Mus musculus: one gene and its partners. The protein of the gene in region 3 purifies or fractionates together with the protein of the main gene of each other region. This does not show direct contact. Links are inferred from orthologs where the notes say so. Each region holds a gene or a part of one and is shown on either strand. Other genes may lie near its edges.

What was found.
Region 1: the proteins of Chd8 (region 3) and Kpna6 purify together in Homo sapiens (affinity purification with mass spectrometry; 4 studies listed by BioGRID and IntAct, with this or other methods). This does not show direct contact. The link is inferred for Mus musculus from reciprocal best matches to the Homo sapiens genes CHD8 and KPNA6.
Region 2: the proteins of Chd8 (region 3) and Kpna2 purify together in Homo sapiens (affinity purification with mass spectrometry; 4 studies listed by BioGRID and IntAct, with this or other methods). This does not show direct contact. The link is inferred for Mus musculus from reciprocal best matches to the Homo sapiens genes CHD8 and KPNA2.
Region 4: the proteins of Chd8 (region 3) and Kpna1 purify together in Homo sapiens (affinity purification with mass spectrometry; 6 studies listed by BioGRID and IntAct, with this or other methods). This does not show direct contact. The link is inferred for Mus musculus from reciprocal best matches to the Homo sapiens genes CHD8 and KPNA1.

The regions. Positions count from the first base shown.
Region 1 is NC_000070.6:129,651,520-129,656,858, forward strand, and holds part of Kpna6 (importin subunit alpha-7), read right to left. Parts: intron 4,884-5,339; coding exon 4,789-4,883; intron 4,043-4,788; coding exon 3,911-4,042; intron 3,435-3,910; coding exon 3,346-3,434; intron 2,869-3,345; coding exon 2,769-2,868; intron 2,487-2,768; coding exon 2,323-2,486; intron 1,998-2,322; coding exon 1,919-1,997; intron 195-1,918; coding exon 69-194; intron 1-68. UniProt on the Homo sapiens protein: Functions in nuclear protein import as an adapter protein for nuclear receptor KPNB1. Binds specifically and directly to substrates containing either a simple or bipartite NLS motif.
Region 2 is NC_000077.6:106,988,916-106,994,254, forward strand, and holds part of Kpna2 (importin subunit alpha-1), read right to left. Parts: intron 3,777-5,339; coding exon 3,688-3,776; intron 3,212-3,687; coding exon 2,943-3,211; intron 2,593-2,942; coding exon 2,498-2,592; intron 2,418-2,497; coding exon 2,154-2,417; intron 1,958-2,153; coding exon 1,724-1,957; intron 1,457-1,723; coding exon 1,274-1,456; intron 559-1,273; coding exon 409-558; intron 65-408; coding exon 1-64.
Region 3 is NC_000080.6:52,253,891-52,259,757, reverse strand, and holds the start of Chd8 (chromodomain-helicase-DNA-binding protein 8), read left to right. Parts: upstream 1-1,997; 5' UTR 1,998-2,080; intron 2,081-5,867. UniProt on the Homo sapiens protein: ATP-dependent chromatin-remodeling factor, it slides nucleosomes along DNA; nucleosome sliding requires ATP. Acts as a transcription repressor by remodeling chromatin structure and recruiting histone H1 to target genes.
Region 4 is NC_000082.6:36,030,751-36,036,089, reverse strand, and holds part of Kpna1 (importin subunit alpha-5), read right to left. Parts: intron 4,921-5,339; coding exon 4,793-4,920; intron 2,839-4,792; coding exon 2,660-2,838; intron 2,370-2,659; coding exon 2,182-2,369; 3' UTR 1-2,181. UniProt on the Homo sapiens protein: Functions in nuclear protein import as an adapter protein for nuclear receptor KPNB1. Binds specifically and directly to substrates containing either a simple or bipartite NLS motif.

The DNA of each region.
Region 1 (5,339 bases), on a different chromosome or scaffold from region 3:
CTTGCTTGCCCTTTGCCTTGCCCCTAGTTTCTAATGGGAAAAGATGCCTTTTTTGGAAGCAAATCTACCTGTATTTGAGCCCTGTTGCCAGCAGTGATGTTTGAAATGGTCCAGCAAGCTTCCTTCCGGATTGATTCCTTAGAGCTGCTCAGTAGGTGGAGGAGGCAAGGGAGGGCTGAACAATTAAGAATGACCTAAAACACAAAAGCATAAGAAATTTATCAAAATTAGATATTTAGTGTTAACCCATTTAAAATTAGATATGCATATCAAGACACCATAAACAGTGCAAAGCAAACCTGCAGAATATTAGAAAATACTTGCAAAACATGTATTATTAAGAGTTAAAATCCAGGGCTAGAGAGATGGCTCAGCAGTTAAGGGCAGATTGCTCTTCCTAAGGTCCTGAGTTCAATTCCCAGCAACTACATGGTGGCTCACAGCCACCTATAATGGGATCCAATGCCCTCTTTTGGTGTTTCTACATGAAATAAATAAATAAATAAATAAATAAATAAATAGCCCTTTAAAAAAAAGGTTATTATCCAGAGTATGTAAATAACTTTTTAAAAAAAGAACTTAAAAGAGATACAGCGATTATGTATTAGCACACATAATAGGCTCAAGATCACTTATCAAATAAATAGAGAAACAAAAATCAAACCAGGAGACAGCACTTTACACTCACTAGAATGGCTGATATAAAAACAGAAAATGAGATGTCTTAGAAAGAGGGAGAAACTGGAACATGGAACAGAGCTGATAGAGACATAAAATAACACAGAAACTAAACTTATAAATTAGCATAAATTACCATGTTATCTAATCTATTTTGCATATACATGACCAAAGAAATGAAAGCAGAGACTTTGTAGCTGCATAACCAGGGTCCAAAACAGCATTATTCACAATAGCTAAGCAGCAGAAACATAAATGTTTGCAAGATGGATGAAGGAATTTAAAAAATAGTATACACAGACACTGGAATATCCTTCAATCTTAGTATAAGAATTCTGACACACGAACGTCACAGATGAAGCTTGAAGACATTATGCTAACTAAGGCAGCTACGAGGGACTAATATGGTTTAACTCCACTCACAAGGACAAGTCTACAGTAGTCCAGTGGGATAAAACTACATATCAACCACAAGAGGGACTGGAGTACACACTAACTCATGGAGACTATTGGCTGACAAAGTCAGACAGGAAATCAGCAGAGTTCTAACTTTTGAACAAGAGAAATTTCTGGTGCCCTCCCTGTGGGATCATTCCTACTGTATCTTCCATCTCCATGTTCACGTGTGTGCAGGGTCTTCTGAGACAGGACCTTGTTGAACTGTGCAGGCTGGTCTCCAAGCCCTGGGCTCCTTCCACCCCACCTCATCCTCCCCAGCAGATGCACACCCACTCTGCTACTGGTTTGTAGGAAATATTTTTCCCGTTTTTGGGTTTTTGAGATAGGGTTTCATATAGTCGACTATGGCCCTGAACTAGCTGAGCCTTCTGCCTCTAACTCACAAGTGCTGGGATTACAGTGTGTGCCACACGGCTGAAAAGGCTAACGTGAGTTTAGCATGAGGTGAAGGCCTAGAAGCATTGGTGACCCCACAGCTTTTAGTGTCTCAAAAGGATCATGGACCAGACTTCATTCCTCACAACACTGTTGCAGCAAACAAACCCAGTCATTCCATTTCGCTTTCTTTGCTCAAGCAGCAGCGGGATGATTTGTTTCTAATTTGCTTAAGAGAAGAAGGAACTATGAGAATACAGAGACTGCCAGTGCTACAACCACTTAATTTAAAGTCACACTTTCTCTGCTAGACCATGCAGTTACCCAGGAAGACTTTGGTCTACAGCGCTCTCTCTGTTCTCCCACAGCTGACCTAAGCTAAGGTCCCACCCCTCTTCTTCCTCACCTGGGTCTGGATGTCATCCCCAGTGACAATATTACCCACAGCTCTCAAGGCAGGAGACGCCACTTTGTAATCGTTGTGCCTACAGAGGAAGAGCAGCTATCAGTGGAGAGACAGCGCATCAGTCGGTCCTGCCGACTGCCGAAAACCAACACAGGTTCTTCTGCCCATATTCCTTGCAGCTCCAGACCTTTGTAGGTCAGCTATCTGCTGTTTGTAGATTTTTTGTTTTTTTGCTTTGTTTTGTGAGACAGTCTTTATACTGCAGCCCACCCTGTCCTTGAATTTGTCATTCTCCTGTCTCCCAAAGGCTGGGATTACAGCCACACCACCATGCCTTTGGCTAGAGGTCTTTGAACTTGGTAAAGCTAAGGAAACTTTCACCCTCTTGAACTCAAACCACTCACATCAGAAGCTCTACCAATCTCCGGCAGACTCCAGAGTCTATGACTGCCTGGATCTTCTCATTGGGGCCATCAGACAGGTAGGAGAGGGCCCAGCAAGCATCTGCCAGCAAGTCTGAGTCACTGCTGAAGAGCAGTCGGGACAATACAGGCAAACAAGGAGAGACCTGTTGGAAGCAGAGGAGGACTGATCATAGGGCTACATCAGCTCTCTCACCAAGCCTATCATGGCTTACCCCTTCCCAACACGGAATTCTACACCCTGGGAATGCCATCAAACCTGCAGGACCACCTTTTCACTCTCCTACCCTGGCACACAAAATCGCCCTCTACACTGATGATTGCCTTGTCTTTCACATGATTTGAGACTCTAATGGGTCTTCCCAAAACTTACAAAGAGATCCTATGACGGAATCTGGCATCACTTGTAGCTAGTAGGTAGTTCTCACCTTTGCAAACTCTGGAGGAGGGTTCTTGCCTCGGCAGAGGTTTGACAGGGCCCAGACTGCATTCCGTGTCATTGTCAGTCGTGTGGACTTAGTAAGGAGTCTGTAAACAAGGAAGCCATAATCTTAGCACTGACCTCCAGCACAGGGCTGTGACCACAGACCCTAGAGTATAACCCAGGCCCTAGGACTATCTTGTTCGTGAAAATGGGAGGTTGTTCAGTCCTGGATAGTCTGAAACTTGCTAACGTAGACTGGGCTGGCCTCCCAAGGGCTAGGATTAAAAGGTCCGGGCCACCGGGTGTGGTGGCGCACGCCTCGGAAAAACAAAACAAAACAAAAGGCCCGTGCCACTATGCTGGGCCTCATTACTTGTTTTTGTCTTGTGACAGGCTTTTCTCTGTCTAACTATGGCCCTCCTGGAACTCATTCTGTAGATCAAGGTGGCATCGAACTCAGAAATCTGCCTGCCTCTGCCTCCCGAATGCTGGGACGAAAGGTTTGTGCCACCATCCAAGGTTTTATTATCCCCCACATACACTGCCACGTGGCCACGCTGCAGAGCCCCGGGATTACTCACGTTAACAAGGGGTTAAGGATGGAGCAATTCAAGACATAATCCCTGCAAAGCGAGCTATCTCCAGCGATGTTTCCAAGCGCCCACACTGCCTGAAAAGGGAGCAGACAACTGTCACCCAGAGCCTGGCAGCTTCCGTGACTACTTACAAAGCGGTCCGACAGGGTGAGGACAGCACACTGGAGTGAGCCACCTAGACTGTGTCTAGGAGGACTCTTGCTGAGCACTTGCTCTTTTAGAGCTTCTCCCCGGAAGCCCTGTTCAGTGGGAAAGGCAGGCGGCCACACGAACTGAAGCCAGAGACACCAAACTACAGACTTCATCATCCCTTCATAGGAAGGGAGAAAGAAAAAGTCTTGACTCTCTACCTTGGCCCAGACCCACACGAGGTAAAGAGAGACTCCATCACTGCTTTCCATTTCTGTGTGAGTACCACAGGCTAACCCATTTTCATACGAGGAGCAGCAAGCCTTGTTCAATTCTCCATAGTTCTCCAAATATGCATCAATATTTATTTTTTACTATACTGTAAGTACGGCCAAAACATTGACCAAATTTTGAGTGTTACCTGTTCTTGTACATCTTCAAAGTCTGAGTTAAGTAACTCTATAAAAATGGGGACAGCTCCTGCTTCAATGACAATTTTGGTCTGCTGAGACGTTCCAGAGGCAATGTTTGTTAGAGCCCAGGCAGCTTCAAACTGAAAGGGAGATCACAACACAACTGAGAGGTCTGCAGACTGAGCAGCCCTACCTACCCACCTGCCTCACAACAGCCAATCTCTAGTAGCAACAGAAGCCCAAACCAAACTCGTCTTTCCCCACCATCCTTTAGCAGAGAGGGGACTTGCATGCCGCTGGTATCAACCCTGTGGCAGTCCTCATGTCCCAGCCTACTGCATGCTGAAAGTATTAATATATGCTGGCTAAAAGTATTAGTGTGGCTTAAAGCTTCCCCGCTCCCCCTTTGTATATATATACTGTGGAAACTCAGCTAGGTTCACATAATTATTGCTATCCAAAACCCTTTTCTTTATTTTTTGTGTCTGTATGTTCATCTATGTGCCATACCATGCTTGTGGAGGTCAGAGGACAACCTGCAGACTGCAGGAGTCAGTTCAATCATTCTATCATGCATGAGTCCTGGGTCACACTGTCAGGCCCAATGGGAACCTTAATCTGATGAGTGCCCCCCCCCCCCCGCCCCAACTCGTGTGTGTGTCTCATTTAAAAAGACACTCACTGTGGAGAACAGGCTGGCCTCAAACCTGAAGGTTTGTTCACTTTGCTAGTAGCACAGGCTGTACTACCACACCCAGCCCTGAAGCTATTTTTAAGGAAGGTAATTTCCCGATATTACTTTCCCATTTCCTAAAGGGATGCCACAAAGACAGTCCACTGTCATGTGAGGAACTCTCATCTGGCCATTCCACCTTAGAGCCATTACCTGCAATGTACAATTCTCATTTCTCTTCAGAAACTCCACAAACCGATCAACTACTCCTGGAGTGTTAATAACTTCATCTATTGGAGGACTCGGCTCTAGAGGAAGACAGGAAAGGCAGAAAAAGTCAGGAGAAGCTTGGACTGACCCATTCACAACCCGAGATGCTCTGACCAATTTTGTAGACTTTCCAAAGTAGTCCTTTGCTCATCTACAGCTTAGAATACCGTTGGCATGTTACAAATACAAAGGCAACCTAGTCTAGGTATGCTCACCTCTGGCTTCCTGTATGTAAGCACGTCAGAAAAGGAGAGAGACAGAGACACAGAGAGAGAGACAGAGAGAGAGAGAGACAGAGAGAGAGAACCCGAGAGAGAGAGAGAGAGAGAGAGAGAGAGAACCCGAGCTCGCACCAAGGAATGAGCAACCTTAGCCTATACATTTGCCTTCTAACAAAGACCTGCTAGGCAGTGGTGGAGCACACCTATAATCCCAGTGCTTGGGAGGCAGAGGCAGGCGGATCTCTGTGAATTCAAAGCCAGCCTAGTCTACAG
Region 2 (5,339 bases), on a different chromosome or scaffold from region 3:
CCTGAACTTGGAAGGCGAAGCCTTCAGAGGTAGTTTCTGGCACCACATTTTGATCTTCCTCTTCCTGGAAATAGTAAGGTAAGATATAACCATAAACATGGTACATCTCTAGCAGAACCCTGTCTCAAAGCCTGCACCTAGCAGAAAACTTGTTGCCAAAGCTTAGCTAACTCATGAATGCTGGGACAATTCCAGGCTGTTCATATAACCATCATATACCATCAAGCCAGTACTAGCCACACGTGCGCGCACCCACCCACCCACACACAGCAAATCTTGGCTGCACTGATGCTTGTTCTTTGTGATAGGGTAATGTAAGAATCATATACAAAGGATCAAGCCCATTGGCTTGAAGGTACTTGTGAATTCTCATATCCTTTCCATGTTGTGGACATGGCCATTACTTACCTCCACTGAGAAGTACTTCTCAATTAAGTTCAATGAGGCCTTGTATACAGACTCGTTTTCATGCCTCTGTAGTGCTTCAATTTTATCCAAGCCTCCACACTCTTCAATCATTATACTGAGCTTTTCTGTCTCACCTAGTTTCTCTGCAGCCTTAAAAAAAAAAAAAACTCAACTTAAGTTTACTACCCTCTATGAGATACAAATCCCAGTTTCTATGAGAGGTGTTTTAGTTGTTTTGTGTATTTATTTTGATCTATTTTTGTCTGGCTTTGATTTCTGAGACAGTTTATGTAGCCCTGGCTGTCCTGGAATTTGCCATGTAGACTAGGCTGATCTCAAACTCAAGAGATCTGCCTGCATCTTCCTCCTGAGTACTGGAATTAAAGGCTTGCTCCACCACTGCCACAAAAAAAAAAAAAAAATTCTTTTTTTTAAGCCCCTCCTGCACAAAAAAATATTCTTAAAGAAAGGGTGCCAGGATAGTGGCTCACTGGATAAGATCACTTGTTCTTACAGAGGATCTGGGTTTGATTCCCAGCATACATATGGTCACTCACAACAATATACAACCCCAGTTCCCACCCATACATACAAAATGAATAGATATAAAAAGAATGGGGGGAGGTACCAATACAGAGTTTCTCTGTGTATCTCAAGCTGGTCTCCATCTCAAGAGCTCAGCCTGCCTCTGCTTCCCAAGTGCAGGGACAGACTAAGACTTCATTAGTAAATTTAAAAACTGAGACTGTACACAAACAAACCTGATTCTGACTATTAGTAAACCAAACTTAGCTGTCCTCTTCCCAGTCCTAAATAGTAACTATCAGCCTTAAGTTCAAGCAAACAGAGCCTTGTTAGGACTTACCTGAAAGATATTTGAAATGGCGTCAAGAATAACCTGAATAATCTTGGTATCTTTTGCACTCAGGAGGTTCATCAAAGGTTCTATTATCCCACAGTGAACGAGATACACAATCTGCTCAACAGTCCCACCGCTGGTATAGTTGGTTATAGCCCACGCGGCCTCCTTCTGTGTCTTAAAGTCCGCCTGATAAACAAGAAAGAAGAAGAAAATGGTTTTAGTCCAAAAGTCCTAACAGCCAGACTCCAAAAGTTAGTGGTCTAAAAACACCAAGCCAATTACCTACTCTTCTACCCAATATTAGGAGGTACTGTATCCAACTCAGGCCTCCTGCCTCTCCCTCACAAGCTCAGGAGTTAAAAGCATGTGCCACCATGCCCAGGTTCCTCTAAGACTTATCACGCATAGGTTGTCATAAATGCTATCATCTGGTCAAACCTAAACTCTCATTACCTTAGAGAGGACACCAACAAGAAAGGGGACTAGGCCGTGATTCACAACTTGCTGTATCTGGTCCTGGCGTCCAGCTGTAATGTTCGACATTGTCCATGTGGCCTCCTTCTGAATATTAGTTTTGGGGTTTGTTAGCAGGCTGGGAAAGACTGCAAGTGCTCCTGCATCGATCACTTTCTGAGTCTGCTCATCTGTTCCAGTGACAATATTCCCTATGGCTCTTAGTGCGGGAGTCTAAAAAGGAAAAATAGGTTGATTAATTACTGATTAATTACTTTCCAGTGCTGCTAAAAAAATTCTCCATTCTAAAAAGTTGTGCAAATAACAGGCAGTATCTCAACAGCTATCAACTGAGGACGCTCCCGTACTCCTGCGCTCCCTTACTCCATACTCACAAAGCTATTTAATAAAAAGGCCAACTAACACCTACCACAATGGGCAGTTCAGTAGCTCCTAGAAGCTTCACAAGTTGGGGAACAACTCCTTTCTTCACAACCATCTCAATGCGCTCATTTGGACCATCAGTCAGGTAGGAAATGGCCCAGCAGGAATCTGCCAATACTTCTGGATCATTGTGGTGCAGGAGTCGAACTAACGTAGGAAGAATCTGCTCAACGGCGTCTAAGGGAGGTGCAGGGTTCTTGTTTCGACAAAGGTTTGAAAGTGTCCAGGTAAGATTACGTAAGTAACCACACTGAGGGGGAGAGAAAAATTATTGAGAAGGCTTGTCTTTGAATAGATGGGGAAAATAAGAGTCAAATATTATCAACTTACTGCCAAGGTAGACAGATCGGGAACTGCAAGAAGTGCCAACAGTGGGTCAATCGCACCGTGTTTGATAACTAAGTCTCGGAAAGCTGAACCATCACCTGGGACAGAAAGCGAGATTGGCTGAGCACGGCAGTGAACACCTTAACCCCAAAATCTATTTCTGTGAAATCCACGTTATCCTGGTCTATAGCCAGCGCTACGTAAGAGAGACCCTGTCTCAAAAAATAAAAAAGCAAGATTAATGAACCTACTGTCCCAAACATCCATGTTTAGTTAGCTACTGAATGCACTGTCTGTCAGACCTGTCCTAACTTCAGTAGCATTCTTAAATGCCTCTTCCATTCCTAATAAGGGCCTAAAGCAAGCACAAAGCTTGACACAAAAGCCACTAGGACCTTCTTTAATCACATTGGACACATTCAGTCCAAAGAATTATAAGTGCAAGTACCTGCAATGTTTCCAAGAGCCCAAACAGCTTGCTCGCTGATGTGAGCATGAGGAGATGCCAAGAGAGAAATAAACGCTGGGATAGCACCTCCATCCACCACAGCTTTGGTCTGTTCAGATGTTCCAGAAGCAATGTTGGTGAGTGCCCAAGCAGACTCAAACTGAATAGGACTACAATCAGTTTTGCCCAAGAAGGACACAAATTTTGGGATCAAACCAGCCCGGATGATGTTGTCTATAGGAGGCTGTTTCTCTCTAGAAAGCAATTTCCTAAGGGAAAAGAAAAAAATCAAAAGTTGAAGTTGATTTTTCAAAGTGCACTGAAAAGGTGGATAAAAATCTGGCCATCACAGTGGTTAATACACGTACAATCTCAACACGGACAAGGCTGAGACAAAAGGAGACTGTGCACTTAAAGTCAGCCTAGGCAACATGGGATGTTGTTTAAAGGGGAAAGGAGATGGTGAGATAGTTTAGTAGTAGGTAAAGAGCTTGCCACCAAGCTGACAACTGAGTTCAATCCCCAGAATGCACATGGTGGAGACAAGTTTTCCTGATTCATTCTCTCTCTCTCTCTCTCTCTCTCACACACACACACACACACACACACACACACAAAATTTTAAGATAAAGTAAAAATTCATGATTCTCCACTGCACCTCCCTCCCTCCCTCCCTCCCTCCCTCCCTCCCTCCCTCTCAAAGGGCTGATTTCTTAGGTTATCCATGCCAGAGCTACAGACTCACCGAGCAGCTTGAGTAGCTTGGAGCTGGCTTTCCAAATTGTTACTGTTTATGCCTTTAACAATGTCCTCAACAGACCAATTTACAGTACCCTTAAAAAAATGCAGTATTTTACAATTATTATTATATACAAATATATATACTTTATAGTACTGTGCTGTTTAGTTGTCAACTTGATACAACCTAGACATCGAGATACAATCAACATACAGAATTATTTTGGTCAGATTAACCTTTGCTCATGTCTGAAATTACCTTCATGATATGGGAGAGTCCAGCTTAATGTGGGCAGCACCATCCCCAGGCAGGTGGGTCTAGGTTGTATAGGAAAGCTAGTCCAGGCAAAAAGCCAGTCAGTAAGTAGCTACACCTTGCCCACTACCTCAGGGTTTCTGATTTCCCTCATTAATGAGTTGTCTGACCTGAGGTATAAGCCAAATAACCCTTTTCCTGCCACTACACTGTTTTCACAGTCATAGGAAGCACACTAGCACACATGGCATTGTAAGGATACTTAGGCTCTCATCTGAAGGTTAGCTTTACATTTAATTTGGACTACTAAATCCTGCTTTATATGTACAATAATAGTTCTCAAACTTGGTCCCATGACATTGGATTCTCAAGTCAGAACACTTAAGCTTTTGTCATTAGAAGGAGTAGCAGTGAACTATTTTAAGAATGGTTTAAGGCAAACTAAATGCTATTCTTAGTTGCAATCCCTTGAACTCAAATATACTTTTAACAAAGAAAGATATATGCAGCTACAGATGTCTGGGGTTTTTGTTTGTTTTTAATTTTTGACACAGGATCTCAATGTAGCCCTGGGTATCCTGGAGCTCATTTTATGTAGACCAGGCTAGCCTAGAACTCAGATCTACTTATCTCTATCCCCAGAGTGCTAGAATTAAAAGCATGTGTGTGCCACCACATGGAGCCTAATTTCTTGAGTTTGTATTTAAAATCTATAAATTTCCGTGGTAGATGATTATGTTGTAATCACTACAGAAGAGAGGCTTGCAGCCCTTGAAACAACATAAACTACTGCCATCGCTCTTGGTTGCCCATCAGAACTTTAAGCTAAGACGCCATTGCTGAAGACACCCTACACTTTGGCAATAGACCATGAGAAGGGGAAAGAAAAAAACAAACAGGGCTGGTGAGATGGCTCAGTGGGTTAGAGCACCCGACTGCTCTTCCGAAGGTCCAGAGTTCAAATCCCAGCAACCACATGGTGGCTCACAACCATCCGTAACAAGATCTGACTCCTTCTTCTGGAGTGTCTGAAGACAGCTACAGTGTACTTACATATAATAAATAAATAAATCTTTAAAAAAAAAAGAAAATAAAGATTTAAAAAAAAAAAAAAAAAAAAAAAAAAAGAAAAAAACAAACAAAACTGGAACTGCCCTGGAACTTCTCCTCACTGCTACCTTTTACAGTGCTGGAAGATCCTACACAGGCTTCTAGAGGGAACTCGAACCATCGTACCCAGCTTTAACTGTACATCCTGCCTAGCACAGTGTACCCACTGGTTCAATAGGAGCATCAGAGTTATTTATGGAGGAAATCAACTGCTTTCTGGTTGTATTTGAAACCTGCTCCACAGGAACACACGTGTTCCTGCACACCTGATCCCTGCTAAGGTCATAAGCCCT
Region 3 (5,867 bases):
AGACCAGGCTGGCCTCGAACTCAGAAATCTGCCTGCCTCTGTCTCACGAGTGCTGGAATTAAAGGCGTGCGGCCACCACGCCCGGCTAATAAATCTCACTCACACACATTAAAATCTAAAAAATATATCTTTAAAAACAACAATGGGCTGGAGAGATGGCTCAGTGGTTAAGAGCACTGACTGCTCTTCCAAAGGTCCTGAGTTCAAATCCCAGCAACCACATGGTGGTTCACAACCATCTGTAATGAGATCTGATGCCCTCTTCTGGGGTGCCTGAAGACAGCTACAGTGTACTTACATATAATAAATAAATAAATCTTAAAAATAAGAAAAAGAAAATCTATGGGCAAACTGAGGCACATGAGTCAGAACCCTGGGCCTGATGTTCAGGGACCCTCTACTTTCATGTTAGCCCCAGGAGTCAGCGGGTCTCCCTATACCTCAGTTTCCCCAGAGGGAAGTAGCACAGCAAATATGGTTGTCTCTCCATCTATGATAGTCTAGTTCCAGGATCCCCCCAAACCACATGGATAACAAAATCTGTGGGCACCAAAGTCCCTCAGGAACAGAGATGTATATTTACAAACTACCTACACACGTTGTTCTCAACACTGCGATCATTTCTGATTCTACCTAAAACAGTGCGGGTGATGTGCAAATAGTTGACAAATTATATTGTTTAGGGAAAATGACAAGAGCAAAGTTTATAAAAATAAATAAATCTCTTTAAAAACAAATTTTGCAGGTTTTGCTGTGTTGCTCAAGCTTCCTTCAGGTTTGTTTGTTTGTTTGGGGGGGGGGGGTTGGTTCAAGACAGGGTTTCTCTGTGTAGCCCAGGCTGTCCTGGAACTCACTTTGTAGACCAGGCTGGCTTCGAAATCAGAAATCCGCCTGCCTCTGCTTCTCGAGAGCTGGGATTAAAAGCCTGCACCACCACGCCCGGCTTCCTCGAGTTTTCTAATACTGGTATTTAAACAAACAAACAACAACCAAAAAACCCTTCTTGTATGGAAATGTAGTCGGCAGAACTTTAGAAAATGCAGGAACACCTTTCTCAGTGTAGTTTGACCTATGGTGAAATTTTGCTTCTTTCCAGAATAAATGACTCCGTCAGTGTACCTCTGATAAGTCTTGTTTCCCAGTGTGTATTCGTGCGTAGTAATTGGAACTATTGGTAAATTTAAGGTCCTTTGCTTTTTAAGTGAAATTCCTCACTCCCGATATTACTAAATGACTCAGAATTTTGGGTTGCTAAAATCGGAACACTGGTCTAGGGCGTGGTAGCTCATGCCTCAAATACCATATCTCTGTGTTTAACGCCAGCCTGATATATTGAGACCCTGTCTCAAAAAAACAAACAAAACTCTAATACTGGAAAATCTGAAACGTGCATAGATAAGCAAGTAGAATGGCTATAAAACCCGTGTCGATTATGTGTTGATAATCCTGCTTGTCAAGGATCACCCTAGAAGTGGCATTCAGAAAAACTGATCGTTGGCTTCTTTGATAAACCAGCATCATTCCTACGTTTAAGAGGTGGTGGGGCTTGTTTCCAGTCTTGTTCAACGTTTTTCCAGAGTTCCTCCCCATGACTGACAGGCATCCTGAGTACATGAGAGGAGGGCATGTAGGGGCTGGACCAAAACGGACCAACAGAACTCCAAAAAGGCCTTCACATTCCTATACGTAATCGTGGGAGATCACCAAGCCAGTCGACCCAAGATGGCCTCCCGAGACAGGTAGCAGGTGCTGTCCGGGTTTGCAGCGCCCCCAGCGGCGGGGGTCAGAGGCCTGGCCTGCCAGCCCGCCGCCCGCTCCGATTTCCAAGCAGGCATATCTGCGGTTGCCTACGTACCCTTCCCAGCCTCAGGCCCTCCCAGCCTTCGGAGACTTCCTGGATGGCGCCCGGCTCCGGCCACGCCATTGGTAGATGGAGGGCGGTGGGCGGGCCCAGGCGCATGGAGGACTAGCAAGCTTGCTTGCGGCGAGGGCTGGCCGTGCTCCGCCGGAAGGCGCCTTGTTCTCCCGGACGGTGGGTTGCAACTCTTGCCCAGGGAAGGAAGCCGCAGGACTGGCTCAGGTAAGCCTGCGGCACGCGCGGCTCCACCAAGCCTCGTCGGAGCCTGGGCGGGTAGTGGGTGGGGTAACAACGTCCTCGCTTGCTCGCTCGCTCGCACCCATGCGGGTGCAGCGCCGAGCGGTGATCAGGTGCGGGATGCTCGGGGCTGAACCACTCTCCTTTGTGAGAGGCAGGCGCTGGGGACCGGACGGGCCGCGGGGCCGTGCTGGGACGGGCCGCGAGGGAGCTGCTAGGGCCAGCGTGGAGTTTTGGAGCTTGTCATGGCACTGCTGGGCGAGGCGCACATTCGAGACAGTTGCCTTTTTCTTCTTCCTCCTTTCCCAAGAAGAAAAACTCCCCTGCTCGGTTAGGTTACTCCATACGTTGGAGTCAGAAGTGCGAGGCCAGGGTTTTAGTTTGTTTTGGCTGGATTCTTTTTCCCTCTCCTCTCTTATCTTTAATGTTTTTAGTAAATGTGGGTAGGGAAGCCTGAGGTGAACGTGTTCGGATTTATTATGTTCCCAATTTCTGCGGGGCTGTTGCAAAGTAGAGGTGACGAGGAAACGAACAGCACAAGTCTTGTGTCTTCCTTGACAGGTCTGCAGAGCTCTTTGGTTTTCTGACACATTATGTAAACTCTTCACTAGAGGAGGACTGCCTCTTGGCGAATATTATTTAAAATTTGTTTTGGTTTTTTTGTGTCTTAATTTACCTGTTTCTAGTCGGCTTGCCATTGCTGCAGCTGTGCATACGCAGCAGCGCCTCTTTAAGGGGCAGTCCTGACGTCGTTAAAGGCTTCCCAGAGGAGGTATGTAGTGAACCAGTCTTCGCAGTGAGTGAGCAAAGTGAGCCAGAAGTCGGATTTTAAACGCTACGTAATTTTCTTTCAAAAGATAGACACAGTGAGACATCTCAGACACGAGTGAGGACCTTGCTTTAGCGATTTTGCTGCATTCTGCCATCACATCGATGTCCACAGAATCTCTGTTCTGAGTTTGTTAACTCAGAGACTGGCTTAGTGCCAACTGAGGTCGTTTTGGGGGGGCACATCAGATTCTAGGACATGGATTTGCAATTTGAATGTTTCCCTTATGTTGTTGCTGTTGTTTCTTTTGAAAGGATATCTGGCTTTCCATTTGTAGACCAGGTTGGCCTCTAACTCACTGAGATCTTCCTGCCTCTGCCTGGATTAAAGGCGTGCACCTCTGGCCCCTGCTGGGATATTGTCTTTTTGATTACAGAGTGTCTTCTGCCTAAAAATATCTTTTTATGGTCACCCTGCAGGTTCCACAAGTTGTAATCAATTTCTTAGGGCAGGAAGTGGGCAACTTCTTCTTCTTTTTTTTTTTTTTTTTTTTTTTGTTAACTTGTTTTTCCTTGGGTGTCATATCTTTTAGTAATGCTGGCCATTTGGGGCTGGGGGGGGGGGCTCTGAGATGAAGGATCCCACCACAACCCCTGATTATTTTACTTTGGTTTTTTGGAAACAGTCTCTCATAGTCCAGCTTGGCCTCCAACTCACTAATGACTTTGAAACCTTGGTCTTTATATCTCTACCTCCCAAGTTCTCAGATTATACAAATTCACTACTACCAAAATCTTGAAAATGGAAAACATTACTTGAACTGTCTTAGTTATTCCAGCTGTTAAGATAATAAAGGTTATGATAAGAAATACAGCAGAGTTCTACTTAAAAGCTGTTGCAAGTCAGAGTGGTATGACAAAGACTACCAGACAAGGCAAAGGATACTGGTCAGAGAGGAGAGAGACACACACACACAGAGACAGAAGAGACACCACCCGTCTGAACCCTCCCCACACCAAATAAAGGAGAAAGAGAAAAAGGCTCAACGAAGGCTTAAAGCTGTAATCTCAGAAGCGCAGGAATAAAGGATTTGGTGGAGGAATGCATAAATTAAGCTCTTGTCTTCCAAGTGTTTAATCTGTGTAGCTGGCTCTTTGATTTTTGTTTTTTCTTTCTTTTTTTTTTTTTTTTTTTTTTTGTTTTCCCCCAATTCTCAAACTGACCAGATCCTTTTAGAAGTAGATGGAGAATATAGCTGCTGAGCTGATTTTGTATTGCCAGAAGACATCCATGTAGTATTTCCTAGGACAACCTCTTCTGCAGTGCTTCCGGATGATGGGGCTTGATACCCACTGGGGACTGGGGCAGAGTTTTGTGTTAAAAATGACTTTTGTGTGAAGGAGCAGTTTCTGTTAGGTAAGAGAGGGTGGTGAGAGGATTCTTTAAGGGAAACTTTTATATATGTCACCTTTGAAAAGAGAATTTGCTTAAGCCATACTGTGACTGAGGGTTAATTTAAGGGTTTCTGTTACGGGATGAATAAGCTTTAATGCTTTTATCCGTGGAAGAACTACCGCATTCAGATGAATGTTAAATGGCTTTGTGAAATCATCCACAGCCCTGAAATATTTCTCTCTTCTGAGCTTAAATTCAGCCTAATACTTGGGGAAAAAACAAAAGACAAAATAAAAACCTTTGCCCTGAAGCCTTGGGCTCAGCAGTAGGAGTCACCATATATTCTGCTTGCTTGTCATCTTGACTCTGCTCTCAGCATTTCCCATGGCCTCTCCCAGTTCTTCTATGGCCGTTCTGGTGTTTACTATCTCTTTTCTTTGGCCTTTGACTCTCGAGTAGGTACGTGTTCATGTTTCCTATGTCACTCAGTTATGTTTTGTTCCTCCAGAGTGATTTCTGCAGCATTCCTGGTCTTCCTTTTAGGGTTTTGTCTACTTTTGTCTAGGACCTAAGTGACAGTTGTATTTTTATGTAACAGACAGCAGCTATTTTCTATTGCCTAAAAACTTTATCCAGCTATGTACTGTGCCTTATCCAACTATTTGCTGCATTCCAGATGTGGTCCTAGATAACCTCTTCCCCTTTAACTTTGCAGTTTGCTCTATGTGTAGCTATGCAATCAAATTTAGCTCTCTTTGTGTTTTCTTGGTCTACATTTTAAATTTTTCACTGCAAGAGGTGAGGGATATAACTTGGTAGAGTGATTGCTGAGCATATACATACAATGGGTTAAATTCCAATAATACCTAAAAAGCCCCCAAAACCTAAAAGTAAACTTCTTGTGTATTTGTCTTATGCAATATGTCTACCTCTGCATAGTTACAAATGTTTATAGTGTGACGGGGCAGTGGTGGTACATGCCTTTAATCCCAGTACTTGGGAGGCAAAGGCAGGCGCATTTCTGAGTTTGAGGTCAACCTGGTCTACAGAGTGAGTTCCAGGACAGCCCCGGGCTACACAGAGAAACCCTGTCTCGAAAACACCAAAAAAAAAAAAAAAAAAAAAAAAAAAAGAAAGAAAGAAAGGTAAATAAATAGTGTTTATAGTTTGAACTACAGAGCGGTCAGTACCTGAGGTTTCTTTTAAAGCTGTTCTGAGCAGTTCTGTAGGTAATTTTCTCTTAATTTTTTTTGATAATTTCATACTTGAATACTATATTTATGTAATTTCCATCCTTCTTCTCTTCCTCCTATTCTCCCCATGTTCCCTCACGTTATTGACCTCCTCCTCTTTAATTATTGATACATATATGTATATGTGTATGTGTATATGTGTGTGTATATGTGTATATGTATGTATGTGAGTATAAACCTACTGAGTCCATTCAGTGCTGTTTGTGTTACATGGACTCAGGACTGACTCTGGGACTGGCTGACCCCTGAGGCTCATCTTGATTCTCCCTCTTTCAGCAGCCATTGATTAATTGCCTATTACTCTTCATCAAGGATTAATAAGAGCTTTTTGAGACAAAAAAATAATGTAGATCAG
Region 4 (5,339 bases), on a different chromosome or scaffold from region 3:
TTTAAAACATTCTATAGAAATAACATGTTACCAGTAATTTACAATTTAAAAAGAAATCAGCCACAAGAAAAGTCAAAGCTAAAAACAAGATTTTTACTATGAATCAGTGCTTCTATTACCTTCTCAAAGAAGTGATACTGTAATGTGATGTAAAGGCAACATTGAAAGTTCATCTTTAAATTAACCACCTAATTTAACCCTAAAATTACAAAGAATCAGTCTTGTACAGGTCAAGTTCAGTAAACTAACATGTTCTCTCAGCACAAAGCAGCACTAGAAAACAACAGGACAGACGGGAGTTGACTAGTTTTGTGGTATCTGCTCCATTGGTAACAGACATCAGACAGCATCCATCCCAGAGCAGACACAAGTAAAGACTAGGGCAAGAATGCATCACACTCTTGGCTGAGAAATGTCCTTTGTCTCTGGAACTTTCTAGTTTGAATGAAACAAATTTTTCAAAGTAAATCAGGTCGTGTAAATTGGCTGCTTAAATAACATCATGATGAGGTATGAGAGCTCTGAATATTCCTTACATTCAGCAGGATTTACCAGAGATGTGCAATAGCTTGTCAGGGCAACTTCTAGATAGCTTTTATCTATTTTGGGGTTATGATGAATTCTAGAAGAGTAGTCTAAAAAGATTTAAAAGGGTATGCTCTGAAACAGACATGAGCAACTTTTCCTTCAGAATTCATTTTGAACAGAATATCATTGGGGAAAAAAAAAAAGACTCCTCTCTCTGATAGTGTGTCCCAACATTGAGCCAAGATGGCCAACTAGCACCGAGAAGTCACATTGAACTCATTTGCAGTTCTCTTGGCAATTATCCTTTTTTTCTTGTTTCTTTCCCCTTCTAGTCCAAGCACAAATGTCAGTGAACACAGTACTGGAAGCGCCATTTGCAGGTACATTACAGTCATCATTAAATAAGCAGGAGGTGGGCATGTTCTTCCTAGGGGAGGTAGGGTACTAGTAGGAGATGAAATAAAAACAGGGGATACTGAGGTTATTGGATCACTGCCCTTTTAGTCTAGAGGTCACACTGAGGAGACTAGTATGCTTTTAAAGATAAGGATGCTGCACAGCAAAAGCATGTATGCAGCATGATTACATTAGAATCGAGCTGCACTCAACAAAGGAAAAAAAAATCCCTAAGTAACATTTAAATATGTGTTATCTGCCAGTCACGAAGAGGAAAAGCACCTAGGGTGACTCCAATTTACCAGGCCCTTGGTCAGGACCACAAAGCCTGAGGATCATTTGTAATGCAGAAACACAGCCTCTCGTCACACCGGTTTAAACAAAGTGATGGGTTTTATGTTCTTAGTCTTTAATTGGATTTTTGAACATGGTTTTACTTAAGGACTTTTAGCCTTCATACCAGCGTTAAAACTGAACCACTTCCAAATCCTAAGAAACAAAAACAAAGAGAAGCAAAAGCCATACAAACTAATATATGCTTCTCTCCTTCCTGCTTTAAGGAAATCTGCCAAGCCAGGATCACATTTAAAAGTCAAAGTGTTAATTCTTCAGCATTCCTGACAACTAGAAGCACATTCACTGAAGGCTGAAGGTGAGGGATTGGATGGTTTAACTTTAATATCTGAAGAAAATGACTCCATTAGAGGAAAGAAAACCATCCCATCTCAATAAGGATTAATGCAAATGTGGCTAGAAAAAGCCACCAGGTACTCCAAGGGTTGATTCACTGTGGAAGAACTCGAGAAGAGTACTCTGATGTATACACAAGTCTAAATATCTCCCTTGTAGTTGTGTAAAATTCAAGATAAAGGTTTTAGTTTTATCTTTCAATGTCATTTTCCCCACTTTACGGAATGAGGAAGAGTCCTCTTTTTTCCCCCACAAAAAAGGGAGCCACATTAGTATGTGTATATATTCCCATGACTCTAATGTAAGTGCGGATCTCCAAAGCTTAGGGATTTTTCCATAAGAGAGTGGGCCGTTCTGGTTACCCTTGTAATAAAAGGGTATTCCACCACAGAGAGCCAGAGGTTTTCCAGATGTGTGTAAGAGAGCAGGTGCGCAAGGCAAGCAAATGAGCGCAAACAGTATTATGGAAAACATTTGAGAGATTAGCTCCATGAGGACTGTGGGCTCCACAAGAGGACTTGACTGGATAGCCTGGTCTGACACAGGAACAAGAAGGAGAGGATTGCTTCAAAGCTGGAAACCTTCCATAGGAGCTTCACACTGCTGGAAGATGTACTGCTGCTGGCTAAGATCAACCTGGGGTGCGATGCTGCTGTCCTCATCTTCGGTCCCAAAGTAATGCTCAATAAGATCAAAAGCCTTTTGATAGATCTCCTGGTTTTCATGACTCTGTAAGAACTCAATTTTATCCAGACCTAAAATGAAGGATAAAGAATCTTTCTTGAAAACCTCAGTAACTACATTCTTAATTCTACTTTATTGATGTAAAGACTCTATACATACGCATCAGAAATGATTATTGCCATTACATCCAAAGCCCAATATTATAAATTAACATCTTAAATTAAATGCACATTGCAAGCAGTTTCTGGCCCAAGGAAGCAAAGTCTCACTACTGTTGTCTCTGTGTCACCCACTACTCCCATGTTCATGTTTTCATATGATTATTATTGTTCATTTCCCTCATTCTCAGCCAAACTCTTACCATATGCTTCCTCAATCAAAGCACAGTAAGGATTAATGCCTGAGCCGTTTCGTTTGGCTTCTTGTTCTCCAAGCCTCAGGATGTTTTCTAAGCCATTTAGGGCAACCTGTACAATTTTTGCATCCATGACAGTGAGGAGATCACAGAGTGGCTTGATACAACCCAGTTCTACTAGGTACCTGAATCAACAAAAAAAGGACAATTTAGTCATATAAAATATTTAATTTTGTGATTTTTATTGAACTGTGAGGCATCTTCAAGCTTGCTGTAGAAATAAAAATAAGCTGTCAACTATGGACCTTTAGAGAGGAAAGAGTTAGCTCACATATCTCAACTATAGTCTGTTATTGAGGGAAACCTCTACCTATATACCAAAAATACCACTTCTATGTACTGGTTGGGGCCATCTTCCTCAGTCCCAACCAGTACATAGAAGTTTGAAGAGTTATTGTAGTCATTATTTCTACACGTAAGCACACTTCTCAAATACAGGCTGTGTGAACTTAAAGAAGAAAACAGATGCAGGACTCTACAGCTCTATGTCTTTCAACTCCAGCAGGGAGTAACGTGATGCAGACAGTATAATGAATATAAGACAGACTACTACATCACACCCAGGGCAGATATGCACGAAATCCCCATCATCCTAATCTCTCAAGTTGTATATGGAGAAAACAGAGATAACTGAGGTAGGTGAAACCTGTATAAACGAAATGTCACTGTGAAACTCAGTACTCATCTTTATATCCTTTCCACACTACTTTAAACTTAAAATACATATATAGATCTCTAGAAGGAAGAGAGAACACATAAAATAACATTATACTCTTACATGATAAAGATGAAAATCACTTCTGATGATATGGAGACTAAGAAAATAATCAAAACCTATTATTGATTATTAATTTAAAAAAGAAAACACAATAAACTAAGGATAGAGGAAATATGATAAAGAGCCTTAACAAGAAGTGTTTACCTAACTAACATCATATTTGAAACATTGCATATGCAAACCTAAGCATTATTTTTAAAGAGGATTTTAAAAGGAGTATAGAAGAATGGAAGTAAAGTCTTCCATTACTGTCTATGCAGGTTAGGAAACACACGCACACGCACTGATGAAAACACACCTGGATAATAAGTATAGAAAGTCTATGATATAAGGCATGATATAAAGCTCATACACAATTTAACTGTTTATACTCCAGTAATGAACACCTAGAATCTAAAAGTAAAACCCTAATAGCAGTGGTGTAGCATTAGCAACAGTAAATCTGGTAGGGCATGGTGATTACACATTGAGACCCAGGCTTGAGTTCCAGAACAGCCTGGTCTACAGAGCAAGTTTCAGGAAAGCCGGGGACGCACACAAAAATTATGTCTTGAAAAAAACAAAACAAATAAATCAAAATGAAAACTGAAAATAGATGAGGAAGGCTGTATGATGAGACAGCTCCACATCTAAGACTGTTTGCTACTCTTCCACAAGGCCCACGTTCAATTCCAACACCCTATATTATATATAAGGTAGCTCACAAGTGCGTGTAACTCCAGCACTAGGAAGTATAAGGCCCTCTTCTGGTCCCCATGGATGTTACAATTATGAGGGAGGTTCACACACACACACACACAGGGGGGGGGGGGGTTGTCTTTTTTACACACATAGGAGAGAGAGAGACCTTTTTAAAAAACTGAAAAGAGAGAGAAAACAAGTATTAAAAGCTAAATGTAAGGGCTGCATAGATGGCTCAGAAGTTAAGTGCACTTGCTACTGAAAGACCTGAGTTTAGTCGCCATCACCCATACCAGGTAGCTCACAATCACCTGTAACTTCAATTTGTCTTGTCTTCCAGACACTTCCACTACATGCACACACATACCCACACACATCACTCATACATGAATAATTAGAATTGTAAAAATATATCTTAAAGACTAAATGCACTTCTGAGTTTAATTATAACAATGATAATTTCCCAAAGTGCCAGACTTCACATTCAAGAAATTCCTTTCACATTCACAGTCAAGAAATTCCTTTCTTAGTGGTCAAGGTTTTAGATTATATATTGGGGATGGGGAGAGGTTAAACTTGTTTTCCTTTAATTTGCAAGATGCTACCTGGACAGTACTTACTTGATCTGCTCAGCTGATCCTCCAGAAGTTGCATTTGTGATGGCCCAAGCAGCTTCCTTCCTTGTCCGGAACTCTGCTGTTTGCAATATACTAATAAGAGCTGGGAACATGTTAGCATCTATCACAGTCTGAAATTGAGAAAAAGTTAAAAGAACAAGGAAGTTACATGATTTTTAAAAATATTACTAATTGACATTATAACTTGTTTTATTTTTTGTTTTGCCTTTTGAGACCAAAACCAGTTCTGACCTGGAACTTGCTAAGTAGACAAAGTCCACACTTCACAGTTCTAACTGCCTCTGCTTCCTGAGTGCTGGGATTAAAAGGATAACTTTGAACTAACTTGACAAATGATGTTTGTTTTTCCTGTTACCATTTTTCAATCTTTATTTTATTAATTATTTATGTATGTGTGAATGCATAGACCCAGCTCTGGCTCTCTCCTTCCACCATGGGTTCTGAGGATCATATCCAGGTCTTGCGGCTCACTCAGCAATGCTCTTACCTGCTGAGCCATCCCACAAGCCCTGTTACCTTTTTAGGAGGC